2 linked regions of the Mus musculus genome follow. The protein of the gene in region 1 purifies or fractionates together with the protein of each later gene. This does not show direct contact. Links are inferred from orthologs where the notes say so. Each region holds a gene or a part of one and is shown on either strand. Other genes may lie near its edges. The genes, in order: Ndel1 and Dync1i1.

What was found.
Region 2: the proteins of Ndel1 (region 1) and Dync1i1 purify together in Homo sapiens (affinity purification with western blotting; 3 studies listed by BioGRID and IntAct, with this or other methods). This does not show direct contact. The link is inferred for Mus musculus from reciprocal best matches to the Homo sapiens genes NDEL1 and DYNC1I1.

The regions. Positions count from the first base shown.
Region 1 is NC_000077.6:68,850,259-68,854,793, reverse strand, and holds the start of Ndel1 (nuclear distribution protein nudE-like 1), read left to right. Parts: upstream 1-1,658; 5' UTR 1,659-1,852; exon of another isoform or gene 1,853-2,436; intron 2,437-4,535. UniProt on the Homo sapiens protein: Required for organization of the cellular microtubule array and microtubule anchoring at the centrosome. May regulate microtubule organization at least in part by targeting the microtubule severing protein KATNA1 to the centrosome.
Region 2 is NC_000072.6:5,914,064-5,917,875, forward strand, and holds part of Dync1i1 (cytoplasmic dynein 1 intermediate chain 1), read left to right. Parts: intron 1-1,766; coding exon 1,767-1,866; intron 1,867-3,812. UniProt on the Homo sapiens protein: Acts as one of several non-catalytic accessory components of the cytoplasmic dynein 1 complex that are thought to be involved in linking dynein to cargos and to adapter proteins that regulate dynein function.

The sequences.
Region 1 (4,535 bases):
GGTGGAACTTGATCTGTTTCTTGCATTTTGTAGCAGAGAAGATGTTGGGATATTTACACGTGTTCTCAGAGATTGTTACATTGAACTTTCTGGGTCAGTCCAAAAAGGACCTTGTACTGGAACCTATGGGAAGTGCCCTGGAATGCTTTACAAAGTTTGAAGGGTACAGCAGCTCTCACCTTTTCTTCTCTTACAATGCTAGTTTTATAACTTGTGCTTCCTTTTGAGACTGTCATCTTCTTTACTGATTTATTTCCCATGGATTTGGTGTAATGGAAGGAGGTCGGGCAGTTTGCTGACTCTAGGGTACTATTCCAGCCTCTGGGCCAACGAAGATCAGAGCAGGGCCTTTGGCTTCTGAGGGCTCTGCCAAGCTAAGCCCATTCATTAAGAAGGGGATGATGCCAGTCCTAGGGGCAGAGCAAATGGGAGGGGCAGCAGCCTGGGAGATGATGTCACTGTTTTCTGAAGGGCCTGGCCAGCCATTAGGTGACTCAGTGTGTTTCTTAGCACCTCAGCCAGGAGGCAGGACAGAAGCTGTGGCCTTTTTATCTTTTCCTGTTTGGGTGGGACGGTTCCTGTCTTGGCACCGGGTCTATAGGAAAGCCTTCATTAATCACTTCTCTGCCTTAAGTCTGATTAGATTGAGCAGAGTTTCAGGTAGGGAAGCCAGACTGAGTTTCAAAGCTGTTCCAGGCCACTGGCCTGTAAAGCAGACCTTTTTTTTTTTTTTTTTTGAGTCTTATGTTACAATATAGATCTAATGATTCCAGCTTCAAATGTTGTTGATGGTTAACAGTAGTGTATGGAAGGCACTTTAGCCCCACGGTCTAGCCTATGTTTCCCTTCTTGTCAGCGTAGTAGTGGATAACAGTGTAGCTTCTGAGTTTGAATTTGCGCTGTAGGTGAGTGACCTTGGGGAACTTCATCTTGCTATTTCTTACTTGTAAATGAGAGTGACGTGGGGTTACTGTGACAAAGCAATGCACCCCAGTGACTGGTACAACTACGGGCGCGACAAACCGCACAGTGAACTCATAATCTCTTTTTAAAAACCCTATATCCTTCATAGTGTAGTTCAAGACGCTCTAGACCCCAGTAATCTTCCTCTGCTCATCAGTTTGGGTTCTCCTTAAAAATCCATCTCGCACCGTTTTTTGTTTATATTGACCTTTCCCAACCGTATACGTGGGCTCACCTTGTCTTTCTTAGGCTCAGCATATGTCTTATGCTATGTTGTTTTGTCTTCAAACTTCAAAACCAATCCCAACAGCACTGAAATAACAATTACATTGAGCATGAGACAGCTAAAGTTCCTATAGTTGTTCCCCAAATGCCTTTTTTAAATTTAAGTTTCTAGTTCCAGGACAGTTGTGTATTTCTCCTGTCTCCTTCGTGAGCTAGTACTCTATACTGGCTTTATACTGGCTTCCCATTTTAGCCTAGGGAACTACTCTCCTGCGCAGCACAGCTTCCGGAGACAGCACAGGGCTAAAAAACCCACCTCCTTCGGGGGTCCGGGGCGGCGCCTGCGCAGGACGCTGTCGCAGATCTCACGTCAGCGCGCAAAGCCTAGGTCGGCTCCACGTGACTCTGGCCTCCCACCGCTCCGCCCCGCACGCCAGCCTGCTTCTGCGCATGCTCTTGACTCCGCCCCCGTGCGTCACAGAATGGCCTCCGACACCCAGGGAGCCCCTGACGTGTCGGGGAGGAGCCCGGTGCGGGGATACGCGGAGTGGAGCTCAGGGCTGCGGAAGGGAGCAGAGCTGAGCGGCTGGGCGGGCCTGGCCAGGCCAGCGGAGCAGAGACGTCGGCCGAGCGGCGGCGAACATGCGCTTTTGACACATTGGCGGTGAGCTCCCGTGCGACGCAGCCTCTGGGGTTCGAGCCAGGCGGGCAGCGCCGAGGCCTGCCCCGGGGGAGCCTGCCTGACCGCCGCCGGGCTGGGGCTCAGCCCGCTGGGCCAGGCCGGGCTTGGGTTCTGGGGCGGCCCGTACCGAGACAACTGTTCCAACCGCTTTAACTGTCCCCTCCTTACTGGCGGAGGTGTGGCCCACCGGGGGCACCTGCGGGAGAGCGAGTCCCGGGCTTCCAGAGGAGGGACGGAGGCCGGGACGTGGCACCGGGGGCTGAGGCGCTGACGGCTCGAGGAGTGGCCCAGTTGGGGTGGCGGAGGCGCGCCCAGCTTCTCGCTCCACCCATCCTTGATTCCCTGGAGCTGCCGGGGTGGTTAGGAGCCGGGCAGGATCTTGATTTCCCAGCGCCCCAGATGCGGGAGGCGAGAGCAGGAGCAGCCCGCGTTGGCAGAGACTGGCAGTCTCGTGACTGCCTGCCCCGAACTGCTAATCATCCTCTTTGGAGTTGGGGAAAGTCTCACTAACCAACCGACCCCGGTTGCTTGGATTCGCTTCTTATTTTTCTCTGAGAAACGATGAGGTGACTAACACTTTTAAGTTTAAGGCGAGTGAGGGTCCTTTTCATTACCCGGGCCCATTCCTGTAGCGTTTGTAAACATTTTAGAACATTTGCTGTTTGTACTTGCGACGGATACTGTAAGTCACTTTTTGCTGGATGGGGAAATTGAACCTAGGTACAGGAGGTTGGGGCAACTGAGTGATTTTTATTTGGGTTCCACTAACTGGTGAGAAGTTTAGCTTGGGTTACAATTTACCTTTCTAAGCTCAGGGTTCTGGTTTCTGTTTTCATGAGATTTTTTTTTTTTAACTTCTTCAGCCGGAAAGAGGACTGAACATTGGACTTGTTAAAGATAATACCAGAAGTTACTAGATGACTTATTTATTTTCGAGTAAATTGACCAAAAAAACCAAAAAAACCCCAAACCAAACAACAACAACAAACAAAAAACCCCCAAAAGCTCAGTTACTAGAAAAATCTTATCCTGAAGCTTGCTCATGAGTGGCTGGTTGTTAGTCTGAAAATTATGTTGCTTTCACTGCACTTAAGAGGTAGGGTAATGTCTGCCAAATCAGAAAGCTGAGAGGGCAAAGCTCATCATTAAGTTAAGGAGTCAAAAGAGACCAAAGGACACCCAGTTGGGGGTATCTCTTCTGAATTGTTGTTAAAATCTTAGAGTAGGAATACATAAAGAACAAAGAAAACCTTTAGCTCCAGTTAGAGACAAACTTAATCTTAGAAGAAGTTGCTAAATCTGCAGTGCCTTGGTTTTGAATTGAATTGAAGTTGGATCCAGAGCATTTGAAATAAAAAATAGACCTGAACATGCTTTTATGAGACCAACAAAATTTATTTTCATGCGTATTTTAAACCATGCTAAAATAGACTTGAGGATTGAGGACTTAAGTTAAAATTACTTTCTAGGCACTTCATAAGGGAGAGAAATAAGGCCTATTTCATTCTGCATATATGTTAATAGTCATGTAAAATTAATTTTCTTAGTGCTGTACAGAGTATCTTTGCCAGTAAGCTCTGTTAGATGATAACTGTTTAAAGTTTCAGTGAGCTAATTGTCAGTTGTTCACATCTAAAGGTCGTAGAGTGTGAGCATGTCTGCTGCAGAAGTTGTAATTGTACACTCACACTCCATGTGAGACCTAGAATTAAGGAAGATGGAGAGGAGCAGAAAGTCCTTGTCTGCTAGCCTTGCAGCTGTAGAAGATTGTAGATATGCCATTTGAGCACTTTTTAAATCAGTGAAAGATTTGACATTGGCTAACTTTCCCCACTTACGTAATCTCAAGCGACAGTGAGCCTCTCCGAGTACCTGGAGGCAAACTCCACACACACAGTTTTGAGATCACCTGCAAGGGTAGCACATTCGTTACTTGAACCTGGTTCTTAGAAGGATGAAGTTGATGAATAGGTGTAGGGATAAAGCTGGGTACTGCCAGGCGGGAAGCAACAGATACAGCGTGTGATGGGAGGGAAAGAACTTGTTTTAGTCTAGCGCATAAAGCTTGTTCCAGGAGAGACGTTAGGGATGCTTTTGTAATGAAAGGAGTCATCTGCTTATAAATTTGGAAGTCTGTTTACTCTGGTCTAACTTAAAGGTCCACTTCTGGCCTAGTAGTTTCTTAGAGTTGAATTAACATTTATGTGATGTTTATGCATCAGGCTCTGTTACACGTACTGTGCCAATAGTAACTCACCTCATCTTCCAAATACAACTGATCTTCCTGTTTTATAGGTGAGGAAATGAGGCACTGAGAAGTTGAATAGCTTGCCCAAGGTCTCTCAGCCAGGCCATAGTTTGACTCTAGGGCCTGAGCTTTGCATGCTGATTTTTCTGGCTAAATTAATTTTCTTTTAAAACCTTATTTCTGTGTGTGAGTGTTATATGTGTGAATGTGGGTGGCTGCAGAGGCCAGAAGAAGAGCTAGAGCTAGAGGGAGGGAGTTGCCCTGTGTTGGTGCGGGGAACCATATTCTAGTCTTCTGCAAGAGCCACTGAGCCACTTTTCTAGTCCCCTCAGATTTGTTCTTTTAAAAAGTAGATATATTTATTATATTTAATTTTGTGTAGGTTTGTGTCTGCATGTGGGTATGTTCATGTGAATG
Region 2 (3,812 bases), on another chromosome or scaffold:
GTTGTGCATGTGTTACATGTGCACATTATAGGAAATGCAGATGGCAAAGAGATTTTTACAGATAAAACAACCAAAATCTATTCAAAGAAACTGAGAGAGAGGGAGTCCACCCGACTTTCCCTGTAACTGTGATGTAAGTGTTAGAAAGGACAGGAGCTGCCAGCCATCACCGTGGGATGTCGGGTACCACTTTATAAGACTCTTAAGAAACGGACACTGTTGGATTGTTCCTATAGATTTCTTTTGTCTGGGAACAATGTGTGAAAGTAGGGTCACCTGCTTTTTGCATCAAATTTGATTTTTTTTTTTAAAGCTATATCTAAAATTCAAATTCAAACGCATTCTTAAAGGACAAAATGATATGGTTATGTAGCGGAGGCATGGTAATTGTTTACTTTCATGCAGTGTTCTGAAAACACTCTCAACAGTTTGGCATAGTTAAACTGTGCAGAGGAGATAAACAGTATAAATTTGCATGTTCTACCAATAATTGGCTTCTTTTAAAAGAGCCATTTCTAGTGGCTCAGTTGATTATAACAGTCTCCCTTCCTATCTGAGTACACAGCCCACTACAGTACTGCTTTTCTAACAGGACTTAGTTGCATTCATCTTACCTGTAGTGCTAGCACTGCCCGAGGATTAACAGGGGTCTAGGAGCCAAGGGGTGGACATGGAAACCTTGCTATGTCAGCTCACCAGAGGTTAGATAGTTTCTGAAGCCAGGCTACTGAACAAGAACTACCGAGGTGAGTAGTGCTGACGTAACGTAGTGGAATAAAGTGACTGGAAGGAGGGTGGCTGTACACTGGGTGTACTGGGTGACTGGAAGGAGGGTGGCTGTACACTGGGTATACTGGGTGACTGGAAGGAGGGTGGCTGTACACTGGGTGTACTGGGTGACTGGAAGGAGGGTGGCTGTACACTGGGTGTACTGGGTGACTGGAAGGAGGGTGGCTGTACACTGGGTGTACTGGGTGACTGGAAGGAGGGTGACTGACTCCAGGGCTGAATGGAAGTGAGGCAGTTTAGGCAGAATCTTTTGCAGACATTTGAGCAGGCATTTCTCAATTTAAGAACACAGGCCCTTGAAGGAACTGAATGACCAGTGCAGAGTTCTTCAAAGGCAGTACCAAGGTCAGTTGAACGTTAGCCAAATATACACTGGCCAACTTGCAGTCAGTCCTCGAGGCCCAGTGCTCCTTTGGTCAATGACTGACACAGTTAATGCCTGGCCCACTCTTGTGATTCCCCAGCTCTCTACCACACCTGTCTCATGGCAGAAATGATGACCTACTGTCTCTCAAGGAGTCAGCCACTAAGGCCAATCACAATTCACAGATAGAAACATGGATATCATTTGGGGTCTAATAGTACAGAAGATATTGATAACAAGAAACTCCATTCCTTTTATGCTCCTTTAAGAGCAGAGCGATTTAAATGTTTCTATTTAGTCTTAGTGTGTGTATAGTGTGGGTACTGAAGGAAAAGTGAGAGGCAAACCTTAGGAGTCAGGTTCTCCTTCTACTAGAGGATCAGAGAACTGAACTTTGGATAGCAGACCCACATAAGTATTTTTATAAGCTGAAACAAATTTGATATTTTACAGCAGGCTCAGAACAAATACTAAAAGCCTTTCTGAGCCGGTAGAAAGAGCCTTTCGTAGAAAAGAATATATTTAATTCATTTACTCATGATCATGTGCTACTGCCTCGACACAACTCTATCTTGGAACCTCACTTTTACCTCTGTTGCTTAACCTACCGTAGGGATGTGCAGGCTGGAGCCAACCTGTCTTTCAACCGTCAGTTCTACGATGAACATTGGTCTAAGCATCGGGTGGTCACATGTATGGACTGGTCTCTCCAGGTAAGAGTGCTGGCAGGAAAATCTTGACAAGTGTTTTAGTAACATTTATATGGGAAAAAGGATACTTGTTCTATTTTGGATATATTTATTACTCTATGACTCTGCCCACTGCTTTTGTTCACATTTTTTTCAAAAGTTTGGGGGCTAATTATCCATTCAGATATTGGTACTTATTAATTAATACACTCATAGAAAGGAACAAGCAGCCAGACCATTCCGTGAAGTAAGCTCTTCTACGCATAGTCACTGTTGGTTTCCTACAAACCAACTTGGTGAATGAACAACCTCTTGACTATACATGAGTCACTATGCCCAGCACTTAGCAGTTAAGCAATGTGTAAAAGCACACAGTTAAGTTGTGATGAAGTCAGAATTCGAATGCATGTGGTCTGAATTGTGAACCCATACATTTTTTATCTGTAAAGCTTACATGCCAAGCACTATAGAAACTGCCTTGAAAGTGTCAGATTATTTCACCGTCAAGAGAATTATATAAAGCAGTCACTATCAAGATTTGCATGCTGTAGCTGAAGAAACCGAGGCTCAGTAGATGCTGAGTAAGTCACTAACCTTCACTCACTCAGGGTACAGGAGCACTGATCTCAAACATTGCAATGCTCTACTCCATTGGTTTTAACTGCCCCCCCCCAAACAAAAACCAAAAAAACAAAAAACAAACAAACAAAAAACTTGCTCATGAAGCTGAAACAGAAGCACTTGAAGGTGACAGATGATCCAGACCGACAGCAAGTATTGTTTCAGAGTGGAGTGTATGAGGGGATCACTCTCTGGTCACATCTCTAAAGACAGACCAAGGCAAAGAAGGAGAAGGTGATGCAGTCAAATAAGCAAGTGATGATATAAAAAGAGTCTCGTTTAATGTCCTTGGGAATTGGGGGAGAGCATGATCCCCATAACTGTATGGTCGACAGCTACCACTTAGGTGGGGTCCTCTGCTCTTGCACCGTCTTTGGCATCCAAACAACAGAGCACAGAGAGTATGACTGTACTAAGACAGTCAAGCTTGCTCAGTCTCTCTGCAGTGTGTGGGTGGTCTGGGAGCATGCCCTGGTGTTCACAGAAATCAGATCCAAGCCCTAGCAAACACTTAGCTTGGAGTGTTCACTCATTCATGGTCTGGAAATCAGGCAGGAGCTTTATGTGATACATACCCCAACAAAGGCAACTGCTAGTGGTTCCCAAGTCAGCTGCTAACACTCCCCAAAAAGACTGTTGGGTACCCCAGCCTCTGTGTGTGTTTGCATGGGGTTATTTCCACAAAAGTTCCTCCCCATGGGACATTGTGTTAAAGGAAGTGATTCTCTGTCTTTTCTCTCCCTCTCCTTCCCTCCTCCCCTCCTCTTCTCTTTCTCTCTGCCTGTCTGTCTGTCTGTCTCTCTCTCTCTACCTCTCTCTCTCTCTGTCTCTCTCTCTCTCTCTCACACACACACATACACCTTCCTGTCTGTACTGTGGGAATTGATTTGAAATTGTAAAACATGCATTTTATAGAGATTTTTTAAAAAATATAATCCCTAAAATTCTGTGTCGTAATACTTTTGTGGGTTCAAAGAACCAGCTTTTCATGATTCTGAGACAAAGTGACACTTTGAATTGGAGTAGACACACTTGGACATAGTAAGACAAAAAAGAAGGGCTATGGTGTAATGGCAGCAGATATGCCTTGGAGTTTCTTGTGTGAAACAAAATAGAACCGCAGGGAGAAAAGGAAAGAACTGTGAGTGATAATTCTGCTTTATATTCTGACTTCAGTAGGCAATAACACTCTAATTTTGCAATACATGCAAAATATCATATAATCACTGCTCACTCAAAAAATCTGGAAACTCAACACCTGTAGGACCATAAAAGGCAGCCTAGTTCCTGATGGAGCACAAGCTGGAAACCCCGGTGACCCTGAGGAACAGCAGGTGTTTCACCTGGTT